4 linked regions of the Drosophila melanogaster genome follow. The protein of the gene in region 2 interacts with the protein of the main gene of each other region in a pairwise test. Each region holds a gene or a part of one and is shown on either strand. Other genes may lie near its edges.

The links.
Region 1: the proteins of Doa (region 2) and CG8128 interact in a two-hybrid assay, tested with the Drosophila melanogaster proteins (one large-scale study listed by BioGRID).
Region 3: the proteins of Doa (region 2) and CG18476 interact in a two-hybrid assay, tested with the Drosophila melanogaster proteins (one large-scale study listed by BioGRID).
Region 4: the proteins of Doa (region 2) and CG9776 interact in a two-hybrid assay, tested with the Drosophila melanogaster proteins (one large-scale study listed by BioGRID).

Annotation. Positions count from the first base shown.
Region 1 is NC_004354.4:15,695,607-15,700,561, reverse strand, and holds CG8128 (uncharacterized protein), read right to left. Parts: upstream 3,069-4,955; 5' UTR 2,899-3,068; intron 2,530-2,898; exon of another isoform or gene 2,240-2,529; 5' UTR 2,042-2,239; coding exon 1,875-2,041; intron 1,803-1,874; coding exon 1,681-1,802; intron 1,401-1,680; coding exon 697-1,400; 3' UTR 528-696; downstream 1-527. Other genes in the region: CG9240 (uncharacterized protein), read left to right, coding at 1-156.
Region 2 is NT_033777.3:28,901,470-28,906,494, reverse strand, and holds the start of Doa (darkener of apricot), read right to left. Parts: upstream 3,018-5,025; 5' UTR 2,920-3,017; intron 857-2,919; exon of another isoform or gene 733-856; 5' UTR 688-732; coding exon 1-687. UniProt on the Drosophila melanogaster protein: Dual specificity kinase involved in the negative regulation of microtubule-based transport through phsophorylation of the microtuble-binding protein eEF1gamma.
Region 3 is NT_033777.3:11,674,396-11,680,098, reverse strand, and holds CG18476 (uncharacterized protein), read left to right. Parts: upstream 1-1,982; 5' UTR 1,983-2,082; coding exon 2,083-2,214; intron 2,215-2,281; coding exon 2,282-2,694; intron 2,695-2,749; coding exon 2,750-3,656; intron 3,657-3,714; coding exon 3,715-4,296; intron 4,297-4,367; coding exon 4,368-5,144; 3' UTR 5,145-5,179; downstream 5,180-5,703. Other genes in the region: Ho (heme oxygenase), read right to left, coding at 1-15, 72-228; Taf12 (TBP-associated factor 12), read left to right, coding at 886-1,155, 1,227-1,547; CG14715 (uncharacterized protein), read right to left, coding at 5,338-5,607, 5,671-5,703.
Region 4 is NT_033777.3:4,328,044-4,336,010, forward strand, and holds the start of CG9776 (uncharacterized protein), read right to left. Parts: upstream 6,029-7,967; 5' UTR 5,870-6,028; coding exon 5,179-5,869; intron 5,117-5,178; coding exon 4,949-5,116; intron 4,435-4,948; coding exon 4,247-4,434; intron 4,182-4,246; coding exon 3,504-4,181; intron 3,004-3,503; exon of another isoform or gene 2,962-3,003; coding exon of another isoform or gene 2,959-2,961; intron 2,206-2,958; coding exon 2,057-2,205; intron 1,992-2,056; coding exon 94-1,991; coding exon of another isoform or gene 86-93; exon of another isoform or gene 14-85; intron 1-13. Other genes in the region: CG14645 (uncharacterized protein), read left to right, coding at 7,074-7,367; Skp2 (S-phase kinase-associated protein 2), read right to left, coding at 7,500-7,686, 7,743-7,902, 7,966-7,967.

The sequences.
Region 1 (4,955 bases), on a different chromosome or scaffold from region 2:
GTCAAGGACTATGTGCCGCGCGGACACGTTTGGATTGAGGGTGACAACAAGGGAAACAGCTCGGATTCCCGCTACTACGGACCCATTCCGGTGGGCCTCATCCGGAGCCGCGTGCTCTGCCGCATCTGGCCGATATCCGAGGCCACGGGTCTATAGATGGCATTCGTACAACAAAGAGTTTAAAATCAACTTGACCCAATAAATGGCCTATGTTTCGTTTGGAAATTATAGTACATCAAACCACAACTTTTTAGAATCATTACGTATGCGAGTTTCGTCTCATTTGTGCGACTTCTGGTTTTTGCATATCATTGAAAATAAGTTGAAAAAAACAGGAGAGAATAATAATTTCTTTTCATTTTTGTTTTTAATAAACATATTTTTCAAAGTATGAAGCTTACATCCTTAATCCTTATTGGCTTACCTTCTAAGGAAGTATTTACCATGTTTGGGCGTCATATTCAAAATAATGCCATATTTTAAATTATTGGCGTTTCTAAAAATGGTATCAAAAGAAAAGCTTTTGTAAAAGGCTGTGTGAGCTTTAATTGATATATGCATATAATTATATACAAAAAAATTCATTTATTGACTACATTGTGAACATTTGAATGCGCAGTTGTGATGCTGCTGGCTTTTGGAAGAAAGGACTTTATAAAAATTGCACTAAGGATTTGGCCATTGCACCGACAAGTCTCACGAATTCTTTTTATCCTGCTGCTCCTGTGGCTGCTCCCGATCCACGTAATACAGATTGTATTTCTTCTTTAGCACCTGATGCACTTCGTCGCGACAGGTGAGGGTCAGGCCGCGCTTCTGGTAGTCCAAAAAGGTGCAGACGAACTGCCTGTTCGTCTCGTGGACCTGCGGATGCTTCAGATACTCCGCGATGGGCATCCACTGGATGCGCGCTATCTCGCGTTCGCAGCGCGTAAAGTCCAAATTCAGTGGCTTTAGGGCGATGACCACGTACATGTCGGAGCAGCCGAAGGTGCCGCCATGGGCATGCCGCAGACTGACCACTGAGCGGAATTCGGTGCGGATTCCCGTCTCCTCGGCCACCTCTCGTATTGCCGCATCGATGAGATTCTCCCGCGGCTCCACATAGCCGCCGGGCAGCTTCCAGCTGTTTGGTATCATTGCAAAACGATCGGACACCACCAGCACCTCGTCCTGTTCGTTGATAACCAGTCCGCCGACGCCCATTAGCGTGTGGGCGTAGGTGGGTAGGTTGCTAGACTCGTGCTCCGGCAACCAGCGGTACATGACCACCACACCGGTCTTGGCATGATGGAAATCAAAGCCGTTCTCCGCCAGAATGGGCACCCAATCAGCCTGCTCCTTGTACACGCGGAACCAAATGGCCCGGTTCTTGTTCGTCGTCCAAAAGTCCAGGGATTCTAAAAGGTATTTCGTTATTAATATAATTTGGTAATTGGTGACACAGATTTAATTAAAATTATAAGCCGTTTATTGTCTATGACTATTTATAGTCATAGACAACTTTTAAATTGATAAAAGTGGAGAGCAATGATTTTGGAAATTTAATTTAGTACCCCAACTTTAGATAGATAAACTTTTAATCAACTTATGATAGCACGAAGACTTAGAAGATACAATGATACAAAAAATATACGTCCAGGCAAAGATACCGACATATTTTAAGATATATATTCTTACTTGTGAGCTTGTCCCGGAAACTGGATTTGTCCACGTTCTCCTCGCGCCCATCGACTGTTACTCCGGCAAATCGATCCGTAATGCCGCGGAATACATCCGCCGGCGTGTCCATGGTTTTGGAGCTAAATCGTGGGATACAAATAGTTTTCAATCATGTGTTAAATACATATGTATGTACATCTTTCAATTCTTACGACGAGTATGCTCTTGTAAATTGCTGCTGTGACTGAAGCTTTAATGGAACTCTGGCGGCAACCGTGGATGTGGGTCGTTTTCTAGCGGTCCGGAGGAGTGTGCTCCATGAATTGAACGCCGGCTGGTTAAGTACGGTTCTGCGAGCCAGAAAACCGGTGGCCAACATTAAATAATCTCACAGTTCGACGAACACAACGTTGTTGATGACGACGACGGCGATCGACCACGTTGGCGTCACTACTAGTTCGCAACCGGAGATCTGGGTGCTGTCCGCTTGGTGGGCGTGGCGGAGGCGGTGGCGGCGACAACGACTTTACCGTCTCAGTTTATCCACAATGCGAGGTGAAGCCAATTCCTGGGCATGCTGTGTGTGTGTGTGAAACGAGGCAAACAGACAGGTGAAAGAGGTGAAATAGCCGCATGGCTCCAAACAACGATGCAAATCTGCTGCGATGGGCGGAGCAGAGCGAGACGGAGGAGCAGGTTGCCACTATCTGCCGCCGTCGCTAGATAAGCGATATGGCCGCTGTTACGTTCGGATTTCTGTTCTTGACATTTCGAATTTGGCGCTAACGTCAGTAACAAATAGTGGCGATAGAGATGCGCAGAACAGTGTGACTTTGACAGAAAACCGGTGACATGAGTATAATGAAACTAAAATATAGATTCAACTGAAAGTATCACTATATATGTACATATATATAAAAAACTGTGTTATCACTATACTAATACTAATACTAATATTAATGGCAATCACGATAGCAGTCACTGCTTCCTGCTCATCTCTAGCGCAACCTTGAGCGACAACCCAAGGTGCGTGTGGGTGGTGGGTGGCGGTGTTGGGGTGTGGGGTCGTTTCAATTGTTTCCGCATGGGTTTTGTGTTTGTTTATCAACTGAATTGCTGCTGTTATCAACGCGCCAGAGAATTGATACGCGTTTTACATAACAAACCAAGCCAAATATATTTTTTTTTATTCCATATCTGCGCTAGAATAGAACATTGTGTGGAACTCGAACTCACTAGAAAAGTCAATGGCTAATGGTGTCACTGAGCCAATCCGTCCAGTTCCTCCAGACGACTAATTACAGATCCGATCCAATGTAGCCATGGACTTTGGCATAAACAAGCGAATAGAGCAGCGCGCGATTTCAATTCGCTTCCACTTCCACTAGCACGTTAATTTCTAGGGATGGCGCGCACACAGAAAAGTCAGTCAGCTGATCCGGCAGTGCTGCCAGCCTGGCTAGAAAAAGCTGTTCAGCCTTATATGTAATGGTTAAAAATCAAATATGAGCAAACCAACATTTTTTAAATATATGGCCTCCGGAACAATTTATTAAATCTTGAAATAGCTAATATGGGTTATATAAGTTACTGGCTAGCGGCTTGGCTAATATATCGAATGTTTCCATCCTTTAGATGGCCAAAAGAGCTTAAGTTCGCTGGTCGTCGGCTTCGTTGCGGGAAAATTCGCTGCTGTCATCGCTATTTATCGCGCTCTTGGTATGCGTGCAGTCCTTCCTACAATAATATAGTAATAGTCACAGTCAATGCCAGGAAGGACAATGCTGCATAAGTAGTAGCATAAGTAATGATTAATTCAATTGGGAAATTTTTGATGAGTACGCAAAACATCTAACGCTATTCTAATAAGAAATGCGACCAGCTTTAGAATTAACATTCTGATTAGCAGAGGGTTGAAGTCGTTCTTAAAGACGGCTAAAAGTAGACTACAAAATATTTAAATGCAAGAGGAATTCAATAATCCTAGAACTTAAACTAAGCTTTTCAAATTTGAATGGAAATGTGGAATAAATACCGTATATGTAGCATTCGATGCCGATCTCCTAGTCTCTATCTCTAATCGGTTCGACGTGGCCACGTTCGGCCAGATGCAGCAGATCCTCGATGCCCTGCCTGCGGAGCATGCGGCGATGATTCTTGAAGAACGATATCACCTTCTTGGACTGTGGAGCCCGCATCCGTCTCTTGACCGTCATCGTTGGTCATCTTGGAGCTACTGTTCCATTTTTAATTTTTTCGCCTTTTTACTTTACTTGAATACGAAAAGAAACATATCTGTATAAATCGTTTTAATAGGCCAATAGGTGCCTTCAAATTCTATAGTTGAGATCCTTTGAAACTTTATTTTCATATATAACTAAATATCCTCTTTGGCTGCGCGCCCAGTTTGGCCCATTTCTCTCCTCTTCACTTATTTTATTTTATTTAATTTGATTTTTTTTTTTTGAAATCGAAATAGTTGCGCAATTGAGGGCGAGTCCTTTGTGCGAGTCCAGTGATTTGGAAAGGGCTATTTAGAGCAACAAAGCGCCAGCGACCAGGAATCCTGGGGAATCAGGAACCAGTTAGCAGTTTAGAGCGCGATTGAAGGGATTACGAGTAGAAAGGATCGTAAATGTGTTGCGAAATGCACATTTAAACCGTGACTCACCAGGGGGGTGGTAGTTGTGTGTGTGTGGGGGGGGGAGGTGTGTGTGTGTGTGTGTGGTGGTATGTCCTTGTGCCATAAATTCAGGTGCTTCAGTTGGACAACAATGGTACTCGTTGAGTTTCGCCTGATGTTTGTATTTTGATTGCCGGCTTAGCAATTTTCAATTTCTTTTTGTTTTTTGGGGGGGAAATTCCCAAAAAAAAAAAAATATGCGAAGAGGGAGTACATAAAAAAGTTACCCCTCTCCAGCGGGCGATATTTGCTCAGTTGTTTAAACAAATTTTCCGCTTAGGGTTGCTAACCAACCTCCTGTTTGCACACAATGGATTTCCATGCCGTGGCTTAAGTGAAAATGCCATCTCAAATATTTATTAAAAAATCTATGGCTGTTTGGGGACACGTACATATACACACATATATATATATATATATATCTATTTTCCATCGCCGGCTTATCGAAAACTTCAACTCCAATGTCGAAGTTGGTGGAAAATCGGGGTTATTAGGTTCCCAGGCGCGATCTTCGTCAACCCTTTTCTTTGTATTTCCTTCACTATTTTGCGCGCACCCGGAAAATTCTTGTTTGTAATTAGGGAGTTTTCCTTATCATTTATACCCGTAA
Region 2 (5,025 bases):
TTCGCGATTACGATCTGGCGAAATGGAACGCTCTCGACTACGATTGTGGGAACGGGCATCCCGAGCAGCTCGCTGCATTCTCAGCAGCTCAATCGAGTCAGCTATGTGAGAGGTACTCTTCTTAGGCGGTGAGTCATCTTTGGAAGAGGCCTTCGGCTGCGAAACGTTAAGAAGGTGCATCTCCATGGCATCATCTATGTTGCAGGGTAGCGAAGCAATGCGTTCTCTTGGACCTGAATTGGTTGGAAGGGAACCCTTGGTTAGTTCCTCTTCCTCATCGTTGTCGTCGTCTTCATCATCCTCCTGCTCCTCCTCTGCCTGTTGCCTGATGCGCCGTTCCTCCTCTTCCTGTTGCCTGCGTTTCTCGCTCTCCATCACCCGCTGCAGCTGAGCCTGCACCTCGAGGGCAGCACGTGCTCTGGCCTTGGACTCGGCCTCGCGGGCCTGACGAAACTGTTCCTGGGCAATTGCTAGAGCTTCCGCCTCCGCCTGTGCTCGAGATCTGGCCTCCGCTTCTGCGGCTGCTGCTGCCCTAAGTGTGGCCAAATCCGTGGCCGTCATCTGCTTTATGCTCAGGCGGCGCTCAGTATTGAGGATCAACTCCACCTGGGTGCTACCGCCCTGCGGCTTTTGCGCCGCGAGGTCTGGACAGCCAAGGGCGATCAGTTCGCTAAGTTCGTTGGACATTCCAAGGGGTGTGGTGAACTTTTCGGTTGATTGTCAGCTTTCTTTCTGGATCCCAAGGGGAAAAATTACTCGATTATCTAATATTGCACTGGCGGCTCCCTCGAATTGCGTTGGGTTCGACTAGCTGGGCAAGACTCGCGAGGCTGCCAATGTTGGCCCCAAAGGAAACCTGCGCAACATCGGATTATTTCGTATTGGTTCTATTCGGATCAGATCGGATCGGAACAATCGATCGCACGCTCAATGTCAATGTCTCATTGGCATTTTGGCAAATGCCCGACGACTTGACTTACTAATTGTATCAATGGTCGCCGTTCGACCAAAGACTGCTTCTTTTTGGCGCCCATATACATCCGACATATATATGGGTACAAGCATGTATAGCACCCCCAATTTGTTTTGGTATATAGAGCAGAGACATATACAAATTACAAATCGTAAACAGCAATGAGCTCATTGATCGCGGCGCCGCCTCATCAAAAAGCAAACCCCCTACCCCTTTGCGATTCTAGCCAAAAGATCTGCACCTTGCCCTAAATCTATTGCGATGTGTGGAATATGTGTGAATATCCCTGGAGAGATCGTTTTAGCCTATGTGTGATATCTCGGTGGGGTTCATTGGGCATCTTTCCCTGCCATTCTGTGTTCGGTTCGAAATCTGTTTTTATTTTTAACAAATGGACGACGTTATACCTAGTACACAGTACGTGTGACGCTAGTGCCAGTACAGTGAAACCTCGATCAGCCATGCAAATTGAACTGACAGCTCTCATTTGGAAGATGCATCTCTGATCTCTGATAATCACATTCGACTGATTGGATTTTTTAATTCACTTTGAGTTTCCATTAATTTTCTGATCTTTGCTGAGCTCTGGCTTAGCTTTCACTGTACCGAAAGCACACACATTCGAGTTGGAAAATCTGAAGGGGAAAAGTTTTCCACCCCAGTTGACTTTTATTTTGGTTGGCATCATCATATGGCCAAAATTTAATCATGTACAAGTTTGTGTCTTGGATTTTTGCTATAAGTTTGTTGTGGCAACTAAATATAAATGCAAGCCTTACGAAAATAGCTTTCGAAAATTATAGAAAACGCCAGCTAAGCGGAAAGTGGAGGATGGAGGGCAGCGGAAGGAGACGCCGGAGCGGCGGAGATCAACATGATGATGATGTGGCAGCCTGATGAATAATCCCGCCGATCTGTAGCGCACATATAGATAGTTTGTATCTATGTGGCACACACACTAACGGACACACACGTGTGTGCTCCATTTGTTAGTTTTGAGTTTTTGTTTTGATTTGCTTGGCCGCTGCGTTGTCTTCTTCGCCTTCATCTCCGAGTACACAGAAAACATATTCACCATATTATCTAAGCACAATAGTAACTAAACTGTTTTTACTTGTTGACCCTTAAACTTTTGGAACATAGTTAACAAAGAAATATGGTTTGAAGATATATATCATTCCATAGTCCAAAATGTTTTTAAACTATCTTCATTTCTATCTGTGTATTCGATTGAGTGAATGTTGCACTAGTCTCCTCCATCCCCATACGCTATTTCTATTAAAAGTATCTTTCGCCTCGCTAATTGCAAACTTGGTGGAGAAGTGCAAAGTTCACTATCAGCGTTTTGGACGTTTCACAGCTGCTCATCAGGCTGGATGGTATCCCACTTGATATTATTCCGAATTATACACTCGCCACCATTGGCGGGGGGTCAATAAAACAGTTTGGCTATGGTATCTTGCATCGCGTTTTGTTTAAACAAATACAGTCCGATGAATATCGCGCACTTTTTTTTAACACTCAGTGTTTTGTTTGATGTTTTTTTCGCTTTCGACAATTTTGTTCTTGCCGCACTGCTACTGTTTTATTTTTAAAACACTTAAATGTTCTAAGTTTTGGGTTGTTTTTTGTTCTTGCGCTTGATTATGTCACGGTGCCCAGCAATTGTTCTACCTATCCTATCGTTCCGAAATGCGTTTCTATATTGCACATACGCTCCGTATGTACCTCTAATTATTGTTCTATTCGATTATTTGGTGTTTCTCAGCCAAATACAAAAAGAAAAGGAATATTCAAAGCACAAGAAACGCACACACACCACACACGCACACACACACATCGATAAACAAATTGCGCGAAAGGAGACGATCAATATAGAGATCGGGGGGATCTGACCGGATAGAGAGAGACAGCGAGTGTGCGGGGGATCCCCGTGGTACCCGTACCGTTACACGACGAAGACGAAGCGACGACAATATGTAGTTTATATGGTTTATATGGCAGCAGTGGCGGCGACACACAGCCAACAAACGTAGATTTCAATCTGTTTCGGTTTCCTCGAATTTGAAAATTCTCAGCCGAAAACTGGCCGCAGATGAGAAGAGCGCAGACTTTCGGCGGCGCGTGTATTTATAATTTTCCAATGGCCACGGAGCAAATGGCAAGTAGATGCTTTTCCGCCGGATGAAGCTGCGCGCGCATCTCCGAGAAAGAAGTATCAGCTGTGCGCCATGGGCCATAGGTAGTTTAGACGAACATGCGCACAGTGCGGAGAGGAATCCCCAAGGCGTCGCTCTCGGGAGCCCATAAACATGTGTGTATTTGGGGGCATGATATAGACAGGGAGAGTGAGTGGGCACCGTGTAAAATCGGTGTATATAGCGGCGGTCAAAGCAGTAGCATTGCCAATAAATCATGCCAAAATTTCCAGAAGACTTAACATTTGTGTTTGCAGAAATTCGAATAATATATGGACGACCATTTGACTTGAATCGACATGTGTACATATATCACATATACAGATTATAACTAACAATTTTAGTTTAAAACAACGAAGGGAATTTGTTAGGATTACAATTACTACTGTACATATTTTTTTCCACAATATTTTTGAAAAAAGGTTGTGTTCCTATAAAATTGTAGGACCGACAATGCATCACGAGAAAACGAAAGATATTCGCCGACAATCTGTGACTCGGAATGGGGACGACTCACTAGATAGTCGTCATTGTGGTCCACAAAGTACTCCTCGATGATCCAATTGTCGCCGGCGTACTTGTCCACAGGCATATCGCTGAGGGCCACAAGATCAAAGTGATTACGTTGCCGTTTTAGCAGCAGGCAGCGGGTAATGGCCACGCTCTCTCCGTCACCGGGTGAAGCATCCTCCTCCAGATATGTTTCCAGGCCACAGCCATTCGCCCCATTCCGGATGATGAGCTGCTGCTCCAACTGCTTAAAATACTGAATCTTGGCGGCCTGGGGACTAAACGATGACGCGGAGGGAATTCTATGCGAGTTACTCAGCCCACTTAATTGGCGGCGACATGGGCAACTGGCAATGCTGGCGAGGAGCAGTTCGCATCATCCGCAGCAGCAATAGCAATATCTCATCACATCTCAGAGCAGCAAAGAAAACTCTGGCCGCCGTCAACGAGTTAATGTCAAATGATCAATTGAACGAAAATAACTAGAACAGCGGGGAGTGTTGGGCACAGGGGTAGCTATAAAGAACCACCAACAGTGAATGAGAACTATAAAGTTCTCGTTTAATTGAGAGCTGTTTTTCATACAGCTAGATGCCACGAAGAACGCATAGAAATTGCTTAATTTGCACATGAATATTGCCAAGGTTTCGCTTAACTGCTCTATTTAAGTACCATTTTATTACTGATGAATACAGCTCAAACCGAGTTTCCGCTCTAAGCTTTTAAAAAATGATTATCTCTTAAAATTTTGATTATATTTAAAGTGGCTACTGTTTTTTTTCAAACCTACACTTGAATAACAAAACCAATAGTTATTTGTAATTATGTAACATCTAAGTTTCTGAATTTCGACACAGTTTAAAGGCCTTGCCCAACCAAGTTACTTTGTTTCAAGTACTATCTTATCAACTCATGCTGCTCACTCAAGTGCTCCGCCTCTTGAAGCCCTGAAGCATTTATTTCCATATTCAGTTACACTGATTACAGTGACTTTCCCATGTAATCACTGTACCAGAAGACCAAGAACCAGAGCAATGTGACACATCTAATGACAAATTTAGCTCAACTCAACGCCGCATAGATAAGAAAGTAGAGAGGGATCGAGTGCAGCGGCGAACGATCATGATAGCGCGCTGATCACTTCACCGATCCACTCGAGAATAGGGTGTACTGCAAGACGCACACAAAAGTAAGGAACGATAGGTTAGTCAAAAGGAGGAGAAGGGGAAGGGGAGGTGGGTGGGTTCGATTGATAGCACAACATACATGCTTACTAGATAATCGCTGTCGTGATCGACAAAGTACTCAACGACTATCCAATCATCCGTGTACGGCATAAAACGC
Region 3 (5,703 bases), about 17 Mb from region 2:
CGTCATCAGAAAGGGCTATGGAAGAAGAGGAATATCTAATAACTTCTAATAATATCGTGTAATTAACGAACCAAGTGCGATCTTTGCATTCACTAGAACATCAGTAAGATTATGCACATCTTTTGTGGCTTTACGCAACTCCTTTGTGAACGCCATGTCTACGAATTCCACATCCTCCACATTCTCGGAGACCTGACTGTCCGCTATTGTTTCTTCGCTCGCTGACATGTTTCTTTTGCGCAGCTATTGTTCCCAATTACAAAGTAAAATATATTCCTTATCTACGTGATATTTGCAAAATACGCCGTCTTTGTTTTGTTTTGAACTCCACGCCAGTGTGGCTGTCTAACTAAAATATACTGAAATTAAACGTAAATATACCAAATTGCTTTATAGCACCAGCGGGCATTTCAGAGTCGCCTGCAACTGGCCATACTGTTGATTTGGCTGTAGTTGCTCCGCTTATTTTTATTTTGTTTAGTAATTTAGGAAAGTAATAGTTTAAGATCAAAGTGTTAAAACCGCAATAATTGTAAGTGTTGCATGCGCTAAGAGCAACTGCTAAGTAACACTTTAGTTTTAGTAAACACACAAAGCGACGGATTCTTAAGACCGCACGCGTGAAATTGACCACTCTATTCTTTTACTTACATTTCGCTTTGCAACCAAACACCCACGCACACACAATCACCGACTGCAGTTGAGAAAGCAGGAGGACACACAACATAAGCAGCAACAACAACAAGTACACTAACGCTTTTGGCTTTGGTTCTGCACTCTTACCCACTCCCCAAAAATCCGCCCAACTTACTGTACTTTCCCCAAACACTTCCAACCAACCGACCTACCACCCACTTGATTTGACTCTGAAGAAACCCAAAAGCAATGTCGGATCTCTTTACCACTTTCGATAGCAACGGCGTCGCCGAGCACCACCTGCACCACAACCACAACTCCACATCGTCCGCCAGCGGACTGCTCCACGACCCACCCATGGCCTCGCCCTCCCAGCACAGTCCGATGACCAACAACAGCAACTCATCCTCGCAGAACGGCGGACCGGTTTCCGGTTTGGGTACGGGAACGGGCCCCATATCTGGTGGTAGCAAGTCATCCAATCACACATCATCCGCCGCCGGTTCCGAGAACACTCCCGTAAGATGCGTGCCTTATGGAGTGCACACGGAATACGCCAGGGTCTAGTTTAACTCTCTTCCGAATTACAGATGCTTACCAAACCGCGTCTCACAGAGCTCGTCCGAGAGGTGGATACCACCACGCAGCTGGACGAGGATGTTGAGGAGCTTCTGCTTCAGATCATCGACGACTTTGTCGAGGACACCGTCAAGTCGACGAGCGCCTTCGCCAAGCACCGAAAGTCTAACAAGATCGAGGTGCGCGACGTGCAGCTGCACTTTGAGCGGAAGTACAACATGTGGATACCCGGCTTCGGTACGGACGAACTGCGTCCCTACAAGCGGGCAGCTGTCACGGAGGCGCACAAACAGCGCCTTGCCCTCATACGGAAAACGATCAAGAAATACTAGAGGATTGGATCTAATCGGGTCGAGGCTCTGTTTCGGTTTGCCGGATTTCGCGTATGCTAAACGTGCACACGCCACAAACTAATTTAAGCTCCAATTTAGATTAAATAACAAATTATCGTCGCTCTATTGTAGATTTATTGTAATAAAAGTGCACTATTGATTTCACATTCAACAATTGGTCACCGTCAGCAGTAAATTTTAAGTCGTGATTTTTTAATCACAGTTTCTAATGGTTCTGTAATATTTGTATTAATTGTTTGTCTGGTGGATATTGATTTATATTTTTCATAATTTAACAATTTCTTCAGTTTATTTTAAAAATATTTGTGTAATATTTCCCTTTGAAAATAATTAGCGGACTCTGCTGAACGCACCCAATTAATTGCTGTATTTTTTAACAACGTGGTATTTTTTTAATGACCGAACGGTATTTTCCATCTCTCGCATCAAGGTCATACCATCAATAATGTTGATTTTCTGATTGTTGATTTAAAATTAAAAAAGCTTTCAATTGGCCAAAACAAATTTGTTCGCCATGAAGCTGCCGGTGATTTGTCGCACGTGCGACTCCACGGACACCGACAACCTTCTGAAGCTGGCCACGCCCTCGAAAAAGTATCCGGACAAGTTGCTTTCGGAGATTTTATGCGAGCTAACCGAAATCAATGTAAACAAAGTTCTAAGAAGCGAAATCTACGAAAAATGCAAACTAAAATGAAACATTTACCTTTCAGCTGGATGCAACTGGTAGTCAGAAATTTCCGCAATGCTTGTGCAGTGGATGCACCAAAAAATTAATGGGTGCCTATTGCTATGTGAAGCAGGCGATGGCCGCCAACGAACTTCTAATGAAGCATCTAAAGAACGGTGCTGCTCCAACGTCAACCGACTGTCTGCAGGAGGCGCCGATGGAGCTGTGTGCTGAGCAGCATGTGGAAGTCAAGCTGGAGACTGAGGATGAGGACTGTGGCGAAAATGATGTTACTATCACTTGTTCCGAACTACCGGAACCGGACGAAACGGACATGGAGAGCAAAAAGTCGGTGGACCCACTGACCATGATTGAAACGGTGAAGCTGGAAATGGAACCCAGAAGCGTGGAGAAGCCAGCGTATGACGATCCCACATCGGACTTTGAAGACGAAGAGTGGGTGACAATTGGAATTTCCCAACTACTTTATTTTAACTAACTAATCTTGCAGCTCCCTGGATAATTTGCCACTGTATAATCGCATTCAAAAGTGGAAAACAGGAAGAAAGTCTGTATATAAATGTCACGACTGCCCTAGGAGTTTTAAACGATTCGACTTCTTGAAACGCCATGAAATGCGCGTCCATAAGCCAGAAACTCGATTATATGACTGCTCCCTTTGCATTCGCAAGTTCAGCCGCAGCGAAGCCCTCGAAGCACACCTAAAAATTCACCGGAATTCAAAACGATCGGCCAACATTAGCGAGCACAAGAAGGCCAAGGCTGTGGATTTGAATCTCTGCAAACCGCATGGCTACAAGCTGATTGAGTGCATGATCTGTCAGAGCCAATACAACAAGATTGCTGATCTGCGCCGGCATTTGGAGGAGCACCCCGATATTGTTAGCCTGTGCGGTCGGCCAAATATGGAGCCCCATGAGCTGGCAGAGCTGTTTTATCCCGATTCAAAGGACCTCAGTGAGGAGCAGTTAATCAACTTGATTCGCAAGGATCTAGCGGCGGGTATCTATCAGCGTTTCTATTCGATAACGAACCAAAGTGGCTACGAAATGGATCTGGACAGCTCGGAGACGGACAGCGACCTGGACGGAGATCACGATGACCAGCACAAGAGGCGAAAGAAGTCGCGCAAAGCCACCTACAGCTGCGAGCTGTGCCAGCAAAAGTTCCCGCGAAAATATCAGCTTTATGACCATCAGCGACAAAGTCACAGTTGGTCAGACGCTCCTCACGTCTGCGGGCGATGTGATGGACGTTTTGTAAGTCTGCAGCTGCTGCGCCACCACAACGAGTCGCAGTGTAGGAATGCACAAAAGCGATTTCTCTGCCACAAATGCCCGCTACGCTTTCGCTGGAAACACAACCTGAAAACACACTTCCGCGAACACAGGATTACAGTAAGTTAATCTAAGAATTGTTCAGGCTACAGACCCATTGCATCTATGAATTTTACAGAATCAAACGTTTGAATGTTCCGAGTGCAAACGGGTCTTTGATAAAAAGAAATCCCTCACCGTTCACCTGCTTAGCGTACATGCGGAGGAATCCAAGCTGATTCCCTGCCAGTGGTGCAGTCGCAAATTCTATCGGCACGACTACTTGGTAAAACACTTGAAGCGACACGGTTTGAAAGAGCATGACATTCCCTTGGCAGAAACATTGATTGCTGCCACCTCGCGGCCAAACGGAGCGAAGCGCATTACTTGCCGCATGTGCAATCTGCATTTCGAGCGTATTGTTGATCTGCGAGCCCATATCCAGTTGGAGCTTAAGCTATCCCTGTCGCTACACCAGAGCTACGACTCCCCGCATAATTATTCAATAACAAACGAATCTGGCTTTGAGCTGCAGCTGGAGGATTCGGAAACCGAAGACGAGATGCAGCCCGGTGTGGGCAGTCGCCCCGTATATATTTGCGAGCTGTGCAGCGTGCAGTGCAAGCGGAAGTTCGAAATGATCCAGCATCAGCGGACGATGCATCGCTTTGACAAAATGCCACACGAATGCGACGACTGCATCTTTAAATGTGTCTCCAAGGTGAGGTTTTAAATGTGTATTCTACATTTAACCAGTATAGATACATTATGTCAATTTCATTATTGCTTCAGAGCATTATGGACCACCACCGGCAAGGTCAGTGTAGTAGTACAGAAAAGAAGCATGCATGTGGCAAGTGTTCCTACAAGTTTATGTGGCCAGAGAACCTAGAGCAGCACATTCTCCTGCAACACAGCAAGTCTTCCGTCAGCAATCCGACTGGCGACAGACACACGCAAGGGACCGGTGACCTGGAAAAGGATGCCACTGAGGACGGAATACCGCTGCTACAGTGTCCACACTGCGATCGCACGTACCAGATGAAGTCGCGCCTGAACAATCATATTCGCGATGTGCACATTAACGGCGACCGCAAGCGCAAGGAGGCAATTAAGCGCTTCCTCTGCTCCCTGTGCGGAATGGAGACGAGATCAGCCGCCGCTCTTGTGACCCATATGCGACGCCACACTGGCGAGAAGCCCTTCAAGTGCGATCTGTGCGAAATGGCCTTTCCCCGCCACTCAGAGCTGGCCTCGCACCGCCGGATGCACACCGGCGAGAAGCCATTCCACTGCACCGTCTGTGGCAAGGACTTTGCCCGCTCCGATAAGCTCAAGCGCCATATGCTTACGCACAGCGGCCTAAAGCCGCACAAATGCACCTACTGCGAGAAGAGTTACCGTCAGGCCAAGGACCTGAAGCTTCATCTCCAGCAGCACACCGGCGAATGTCCTTTCGTGTGCGGCACCTGTGGCGAGCGCTTCATCCAGAGCAGCACGCTGGAGAAGCATCGGTTGATGCGGCGTCACTTCGACGAGGTGGAAGCGTGGCTGAGACGCCAAAAGTAAGGGGCTCTTGCAATAAATACAATTTGGTCTAGTATAAAAGGAATGACATTATTATTTATTGGTCGTGGCGTGGCATCACTTCAGAAACAAGACAAATTACTACTTTAAATATTTGAGCATTAAATGTTTATGACTTTAGTTGAAAGTAAACTTTGGGTGTAGCATGGAATGCCTATTTGTGGCCCTATTCGCTTTACAGCTCTTCAGATCCAGAGCGCGGTTCGATTTTTACCAACTCCGTATCGAAGACGAGCACCGCATTGGGGGGAATCTTTCCGCCACCCGCTCCACTGGCTCCGTATCCCAGCTCAGGCGGAATCGTCAGCTTTCGCTGCTCACCCTCACACATACCAAGGATTCCCTGATCCCAGCCCTTGATCACCTGCCGAGCTCCCAGGGTAAAGGAGAAGGGAGTGCCGCGGGAGTAGCTGCTATCGAACTCTGTTCCATCCTGCAGTGCTCCCTAGAATGATTCCAAATTCGGGGTTAGGTCGGCTAGAGATCTTCCTTATCTGATTTCCCTTACTCTGTAGTGCACGTGGACGAGATCGCCGCCCTT
Region 4 (7,967 bases), about 25 Mb from region 2:
GTAGAACTCATTTAAGACTCAAATAGCACAGTTTCTAATTTAATTAAAAAAAAAGAATAATATACATAGCAAAGAAAGACACGTTCTACATACATTGTGCCGCCATGTCACTCCTGTCGATTCCCAGCATAGCCAACTCGTCAAGCTCCGACTGACGACGAAGCTTCTCACTGTCTGAAGGCGATACAGCCGGCTCTGGTATTTCTGAGATATCAGCTTGCTTCTGTAAGGCCTTGCTTTTCGTCTCCTCGTCAAATGACGGCTCAGCCGGAGGCGAATTCGGCATTGGGATATCCTCTGCGTCAATCAGTTTTATGTTTACTCCGTCGTCCGATTTGCCATTTAAATCCTGCAACTTTTCAATCTTCTCCGATGTTTGAATATGTGACTTTTTAGGTACCTCTGCTTCATTGATAGTTACAAGGTGAATACCCTCTTTAGCTAAATCTTGAAGATGAATCACACTGAGCACTGCGTCATCTTCAACAATGGTGGTGATAGTCACATCTTCCTGCTTTTCACTGTTTCCATTTGATGCCTCCAAAATCGCTACGTCGCTGGGGAATATTATGTCAAGCGCTTCGACCAGGTCCTTTGGGAGTTCCCCGTCTCGGGATTGTGCCGCAGCGTCTAACGGATGCGGTACCAGGGCAGATTCAGCTTCATCAATGCCTGGGGGCAAGACGTCCTCTCGGTTTTCGTTGTCATGCTGATCGCCATCCTCAGGGCCATGGGCATCACCTTCAGAGCCTTCTCCAGGCGGCGGAGGTGGTGGGCAGCTCGTCATTAAATTGGCGAACTGGACAGGATCTGGCATTAGCTCATCGTAATCTACCATCATACCCGCATCTGGATGAAATGGGGGAGCATTGCCAAAAGCATCTTCCATCATTGCCATCTGAATCTGCGCAGCTGTCGGTGCTTGTTGACGCACAGCTATCTGACTTGTCGCTCCGCCCAATGGAGGTGGCGGTGGAGGTGGTGCCTCCAAACAGCCGTTGGTGTAGACAGCAGAAGCATCATAGTTGAAAGATGGAACAGACTGCTTTTTAAATACTGGCATCTTACCGATGAAAGGTAGTTTTTTGCCTCCAGGCAAGGAATTGTTACTGGGCTTGGATGACTTTGACTTGCTTTCTGCATCCTTCTTGTCGCGCTTTATATCAGTTTGCTTGCGTTCCGGCACAGTACGGGGCCGAAACTCGGAATGCTTGACCACGGGACGCTCTACCCGTTCAATAGAGCGACTACGACTGCGTCGACTTCGGCCCTGACGGGATCGACTTCTTCGACTAGATCTTATGGGCGAACGAGAGAAGTGTCGGCCACGACTGCGTGACCGACGCCTACGACCACGGTCTCTATCTCGCTCACGATCCCGCCGATCTCGATCCCGCCCGCGACTTATGCTTCGAGAGTAGCTGCGCCGCTTAGAACGTGAACGAGAATGACGTCCTCCACCCCGCCTAAACTTTTCATCATTCGCTTCTGTTGGTACTGCTTTGTGGTTGTTCTGGTCGCGGGCTCCCTTGTTCTTCAGCCTTCCTTTAAGCTGCTCCAACAACTTTTTTTCACTCTCACTTATAACAGGCTGCACATTATTCCATTGCTTGAGCATGGTATCATCCCGGTTCTTTTGATCCTTACTTTGGTCTTCGACACTGGCGGCAGTCCATTTACCCCGTTCTGAAGGAATTGTGGAATCCTTTATGATCGGTGGCGGTGGCGGCACCACAGGCTGACAAGGCACTTCCGGCTTCAAATTTGTTGGTGTGCTTTCCTGCTTTCTCATGGCCACTCGTATTGATGCTGCATTAGTCGACTTATCTGATTGACAAATTGGTTGCTGTTCGGTACGACCTTTCTTTGGTTGCTGTCCATTTTCCTCTTCCGACGAAGAGCTATCGGAGGATGACGATGTGCTGTTTGCATCTATTGTACTACGTTTGCTCTTCTTTCCGTGCTTGCGCTTCTTTTTTTTTTTGTCCCCGCTGTTTGTAAAAAAGAAACAAATATAAAATATAATCTGGATTCAAATTATTCTTATGACCCTTACCCCTTTTTTTTCCTCTTTTTGGACGCCTTGTCCTCGTCTTTCTTGGACTTTTTATTCTTGGCATCATCGTGATCTTTCTGTTGATTCATGGCCCGCTCGCGGTTTGTTTGCCACTCTATTTCATAGTTGGGGTTCTGATTTAAAAATTGCTGCAATGCACGGGTACAAAAAGTCAATAATATATTCCAAATTGACAGGAGAATAATTGCATGAGGCGAAGAATTAATAAAAGCAATTATAAAATATATACGAGAAAGGTAAGTGGAAGGCCTATGTTAGTTTTGACAAGAGTGGTCCCCGACTATTAGATACCCTTTGGTGACTCAGTGGAAGTGCGAACGAGAGCTATAAAATTTTTTTTGGCATGTCGATAGAAATTGGGAAATGAATAAACTTAAATCTTCTCGAAGTTTTTCTTATAGTTTCTGAGATCTCGACGTTCATACAAACGGACTGACAGGCGGACATGGCCAGACTCGGCTAGTGATCTTGATCAGGAATATCCTTATTTTATATGGCCACAAACGAGTCCGACCTGTAACATACTTTTCAACGAATCTAGTATACCCTTTTACTACGAGTAACGGGTATAATGAAATTTTTAAAAAGTGTGGGCGAGACAGTTTTTGGGCGTCAAATACCATAGAATAGCCACCGTTTGTGGCCTTTGTGGTGTGACAATGTTCTAAAAGAAACTTACGCCACGAAAACCTCAATAGAATCTGCATGCTTAGGTATCTTTTATAGTTCCCAAAAATTCGATGTTCATACAAACGGACATGCCTCTATAGGCTTCCATTTATTTATTGTTAACTTATGATTGTAGTAAGATTACATAAGTACTAACAATATATTTAAAGCACATGTTGGCTACTCCATTTACATTCACATTCCCATCTTACCATTAAATTTTGTTGCTGGGAAGGAAAAGAAGAATTAACCTTTTAAAAATAAGCCAATTTAATAATTAATAAATTGACACAAAGGTAAAAGCCAACTTTACAGCAAAAAAAAAAGTTGACAATTGGAGCAATCTTCAAACTTGTTCTGCTCATACACTACATCATTGCCAAGGGTAGTGACAGCTGATATTATGTGCGAATGGCAAATGCCTGAAATCCGAACTTTTTTTATGCATGAAAGCACAAGTGAATAACGTAATTTACCTAAATATCTTAAGTGCAAATTTAACACACAAAACTTTTGATGTAAGCTAAACGTAGAAATGATTTCACGATATGTAAATAACGTTCAATCTTAACAAAACTATTGTTTCAATTTTGTTTTTGGGAAGTACTTCTATCCACCAGCCCTACAAGCTCCGTATTTTTATATTTAATATATATATTTTATTAATTAAATACAAAACCCTAAATTAACATGGTAAAGAATATTTGTGACAGTAAATATTTCATAAGAGCTTTAAAAGATGTATATTACTACTCACCTGATACTTATTGGAGTGAAGCCTAGACTTAAGATGAGCAGAAGCGCAGTGCAAGTCTCCAATCCAAACACTGCAGAGCTTGCAAAACCAAGCGTTAGCCGGCACCAGAAATTGCATGCCCCTCACGGGGACGCGCCTGGCAGGTGCGTTTTCAAATGTGGGAAAGGGATCGTGGTCAATACCCACATGCCACGGAGTTTCTATGGTTTCTCGATTCATGTGTTCCTCGGCATGCAAGTGCTTTAAATAGTCTCGAGCAGACTTTGGAAAAACTCCACAGCTCTCGCACCAATGCTGCTCGGGATCGAAAAACACAAAATTGTAATTTTGTGCTTGGGTTGGCACTGCCTTCATTTCACCATGTAGCTGCTTTGACTTCATCGACTTTATGGCGCGGTGCTTTAGCCGATTGGTTGGACTTCCTACGGCGCCGCCTGCCCCTTCCCCGTCTTCGTTATCGGATGACGAATCGGAAGCAGTACTAGATGATGAGCTGGATTCAGAGCTATCTGCAGAACTCTCACTGGAGGAGTGCGAGCGACTATCCTGTTGTTCCGGTTGAGTCTTGCCATGGGACTTTTGGTTAGATGGTTCATCTTCAACTTCTTCGTAGCCAATTATGCCGTTCAGCATATCTATAACGTTTTCAATTGTGTCAAGTTTCTTCTTAATTTGCATCTATACAGGATGAAAACAGGTTACATAGAGTGGCTAACAGATAAGGTTTTGGGATCCCAATTCACCTGCAGGCGGTCGTTTTCTTCGATGAAATTCTTTGTGGTTGGCGAGGGTGGGGCATCGCCTGCTGCCAGGTCCTCGCGCTGGTCCTTAAGTACTTTCATTTCCTTCTTGAGCAGCGATACCTTTTTGACATAGTTAGCGCGCTGTTTCTTAAGCTCGTCCTTTTGCTTCTCCGCTTCTTGGGCAACAGCTGCCGATCGACGGTATATATATGGGGGATAAATATATAGGTTTTAATTAATAAACATTCTTCCTAGATAAATAAAAGTTAAAATTTCATTTACAAATGCATTCTCGAGTGCATTTCATCGGCTAATTACACTCGGATGCAGTCGCCGTGATTGCTTGTTCTGCCAGTCCTCGTTGAATGAAGAGCCAGTTGGGGCGGCGGTCGTCCAGGTTGGCGTAATTGTTTGTTTCGACTGCCACACAAAAACGGAAACTCTGCATTTTCTTTTTGAAACGAATTAACATTTCGAGACTATCGCTCGGGTTGGTCTTGGTTAGTTCTTGCAGCGCGTGTACTTCTAGATTCTGATTAATCTGATCTTTACCCTAGACTTTTGGTAATTTCTGGTATGCGATTCATTTGCGCGCAATTAAGTTACAAGTACAAGTAATCATGACAACAGTAATAAAACAATGTGAGAGGTTTGCATGTGAATGTTCGTAGTGATCACATTGTAATTCATTTCCACACTTACCATCCTGAGGCGTCAAACCTGCGCCTTCGAGCGCTGGCACCGACTGCTCCTCGCCTATCGTCTTGCCAGAGAGAGTTTCGCGGGCCTTCTGTGGCTGGATCAGGGAGTCTGAAGCGGATGGCTGGACCCCAGAAATAGGCTGGTTAATCCACACCTGCTGACCGTACACTGCAGGAAATAATATGCTTAATAAATGAAGGGCTTTTGGCGTTAAATGTCTAGAAACGTACCATTTACGTCCCACGCGCTTGTGGGAGGCGGACCGTAGCCAGAGCCAAAAGAGCTTTGGTCCGGCGGGGCACCTGGAATACCGTACCCCGGTCCCTGAGGTGGAAACGAGTTAGGCGGAATTCCATATTGGTGACCGTAAACATCTGGTGGAGCGACGTATGATCCGTAGATATGTGCGGCCATAGCTCCATAGCCAGGGGTCATTTGAGGATGTGGTCCTCCATGCGGAGGGGGCACTGGCGGCGACGACGGTTTTTTTTTTGGTGACCATCGACCTCCCCGTCGGGGCGACATGCTGCGGGACCGGGATCGTCCGTACCGTCGTCCGCGACGTGGCGGAGAGCGCCGGCGTTCGGGGGAGCGTCGCCGATCACGATCAAAGCGCCGTCGGGAGTACCGCCCATAATCGGGCGAATCGTAACGACGACGCGGTGGAGTCAGCGAGCGGGACAGGGAATGCCTTCGCCGGGTGTTCGACGGCGATGTGTTGCGGGAATCCGACCGACCACGGGATGTGGAACGGCGCCTGGAATTCGACTTGCCGCGCTTTCCCGACCCACTGCTCCTGGGCTCGCAGTTCTCGTTTCCGCTTTTCTCATCGACGCCGGGTGGCCCTGGAAGCAGATCATGATCGACCGCGTTACCGAGACGCCTATCCCCCAGCTGTATCGTAGCCGAGTCTTCATCCATCTAAAAGCCGAAAAGTGTCTTTTCGACTTAAAAACGCAATTTTGGACTAAGATCAATAGCAGATCGGTGTTTTTCTGGCAAATTCCGAAATTACGTGTGTGAAGCAAAATAGTGCAATACAGGCGAACCTGAACCTGATAGTTATCGATACTATCGATGTTGTCACGTATTGGCCAACATCGATGACAAGGGAGTTACAATCGACGAATGTTTACTCTTTGGCTTAATAGCCTATTCACACCAAAGGCAAAAGGTAAGTTATAGTTAAATACTATTAAGTACCGACATTGGTACAAATTTGTCTAAAGTGATTTCCCAAGAAGTGTGGAAAACGCCGAAATGTCCACCCCGTTAAGCATACTAGCACCAAAAGAATTTTTACTTTTGTAACGCACTTTAAATTTCCGTTAATATATAAAAAAATTACCAATTGGAGGGATGACTCAAAATAGTTTCAATTTTATATTTCTACCCGTTACTCGTAGAGTAATAGAGTATACTAGATTCGTTGAAACAGGCAGAAGGAAGCGTTCCCGACCATATGAAGTACATATATTCTTGACCAGGATCAATAGCCGATCTGGCCATGTACGTCTGTCCGTATGAAAGTCGAGATCTCAGGAACTATAAAAGCTAGAAGGTTGAGATTAAGCATACAGATTCTAGAGACAAATACCCAGCGCAAGTTAGTTGACCCATGTTGCCACGGGTGACGGGTATCTGATAGTCGAGGAACTCGACCATAGCCTTCTCTCTTGCTTTAGTTACTTTTATATTGCTGAATCTTTAAATTTGGCAGGCTGTCCAATACGAACTTTGTTCTTGAACCTATGATTACGAACTAGATCGAAAATATTTATATTTGTCGTTTCCCTATATGATTTTGTTTTGAATTGGCTTGATTATGCTTTCCTTGATAAAAGACATATTTTTTGTTTATTTTCTTAAATATTTAATATAGTATAAAAACAATGAATTTTTAAATGGAAAATTGGGTGACTCATTGTACCTTTTTTAGTTTGAACAGATTGGAGTCAAGGGCAAGTACTGTTATCTTTTCCTTCCTCTCTCGAGTGTTTACATTAATGCCAATTTATAAAAGCATTTTCTGGTAGTAGCTGCACTTGGATACTATACCGCTGCAACTATGTAACTATAAAAGGCTTCGAGTACTTCCAGTAGACCATAGAACATTTTTTGAAAGATGAAGGTTCAGCTCGCTCTAACCTCCCTACTAGTGATTTCTTTTGGCATTGCCCTCGCCTATGATGGTGACGGACAGCCGGGTTGCAAGACCCAAGCCGAGCTAGACATTGTAGTTTTCCGCAACAATTGGGATGCCACATCGTATTGGAAGTGTGAGACACTTAACAAACCAGCCATTGAAATCAAGTGCCCCAGCGAAACAGGATTCATGGATAGTCTCAAGAACTGCGTCAACTGGGAGGAATGGGAATGGGAGAAACCAGTGGAGCCCCTTAGCGAAGCGGATCAGTGACCAAACGCACAAAAATAAGAACAGCTAAATGTGATTATTTATGTTGTTGAATTGAGAATAAAATAACTGCGTTACGGGTGGCTTACGCAGCAAAACAAATTCAAATGGTAACGGAAGCAGCAGAGTCGAGACTTAGTCGCGCGTGCGCAGACCCCAAATGGAGGTGCGTCGCGTGCCAACAGTCGGGCGGGATACCGAACTGTGAATGAATTTGTTTATACCCATTTTTGGCAGTTGTTTCTCAAGGACTTCCATTGCAGTGTCCGACAGCATCCCAAATATGTCTAAATAGGTTAGCGAGGGCATACTCTTAAGTTCACTGCAAGGAAAATGACTGGGTAGGGATTAATCAGACGCTTGCTGGAAAAATCTTACATAAATTTGGTTGCTGGAATAAGATAGCATCGGGAGACGGACAAATATTCCAGCATCTTGAACTTCATAATTGCAGTAATGACTGTTGGTGTTAGACTATTGCAATCAGATAGATCAAGCTCCAACAACTGAGGACACCGTTTTTGCAGGGTTGCAACATCTAAACAAATTAAATTCAAATCAAAAAGGAAATATATCATTGAAGACGGTGGGAACTACTTACGC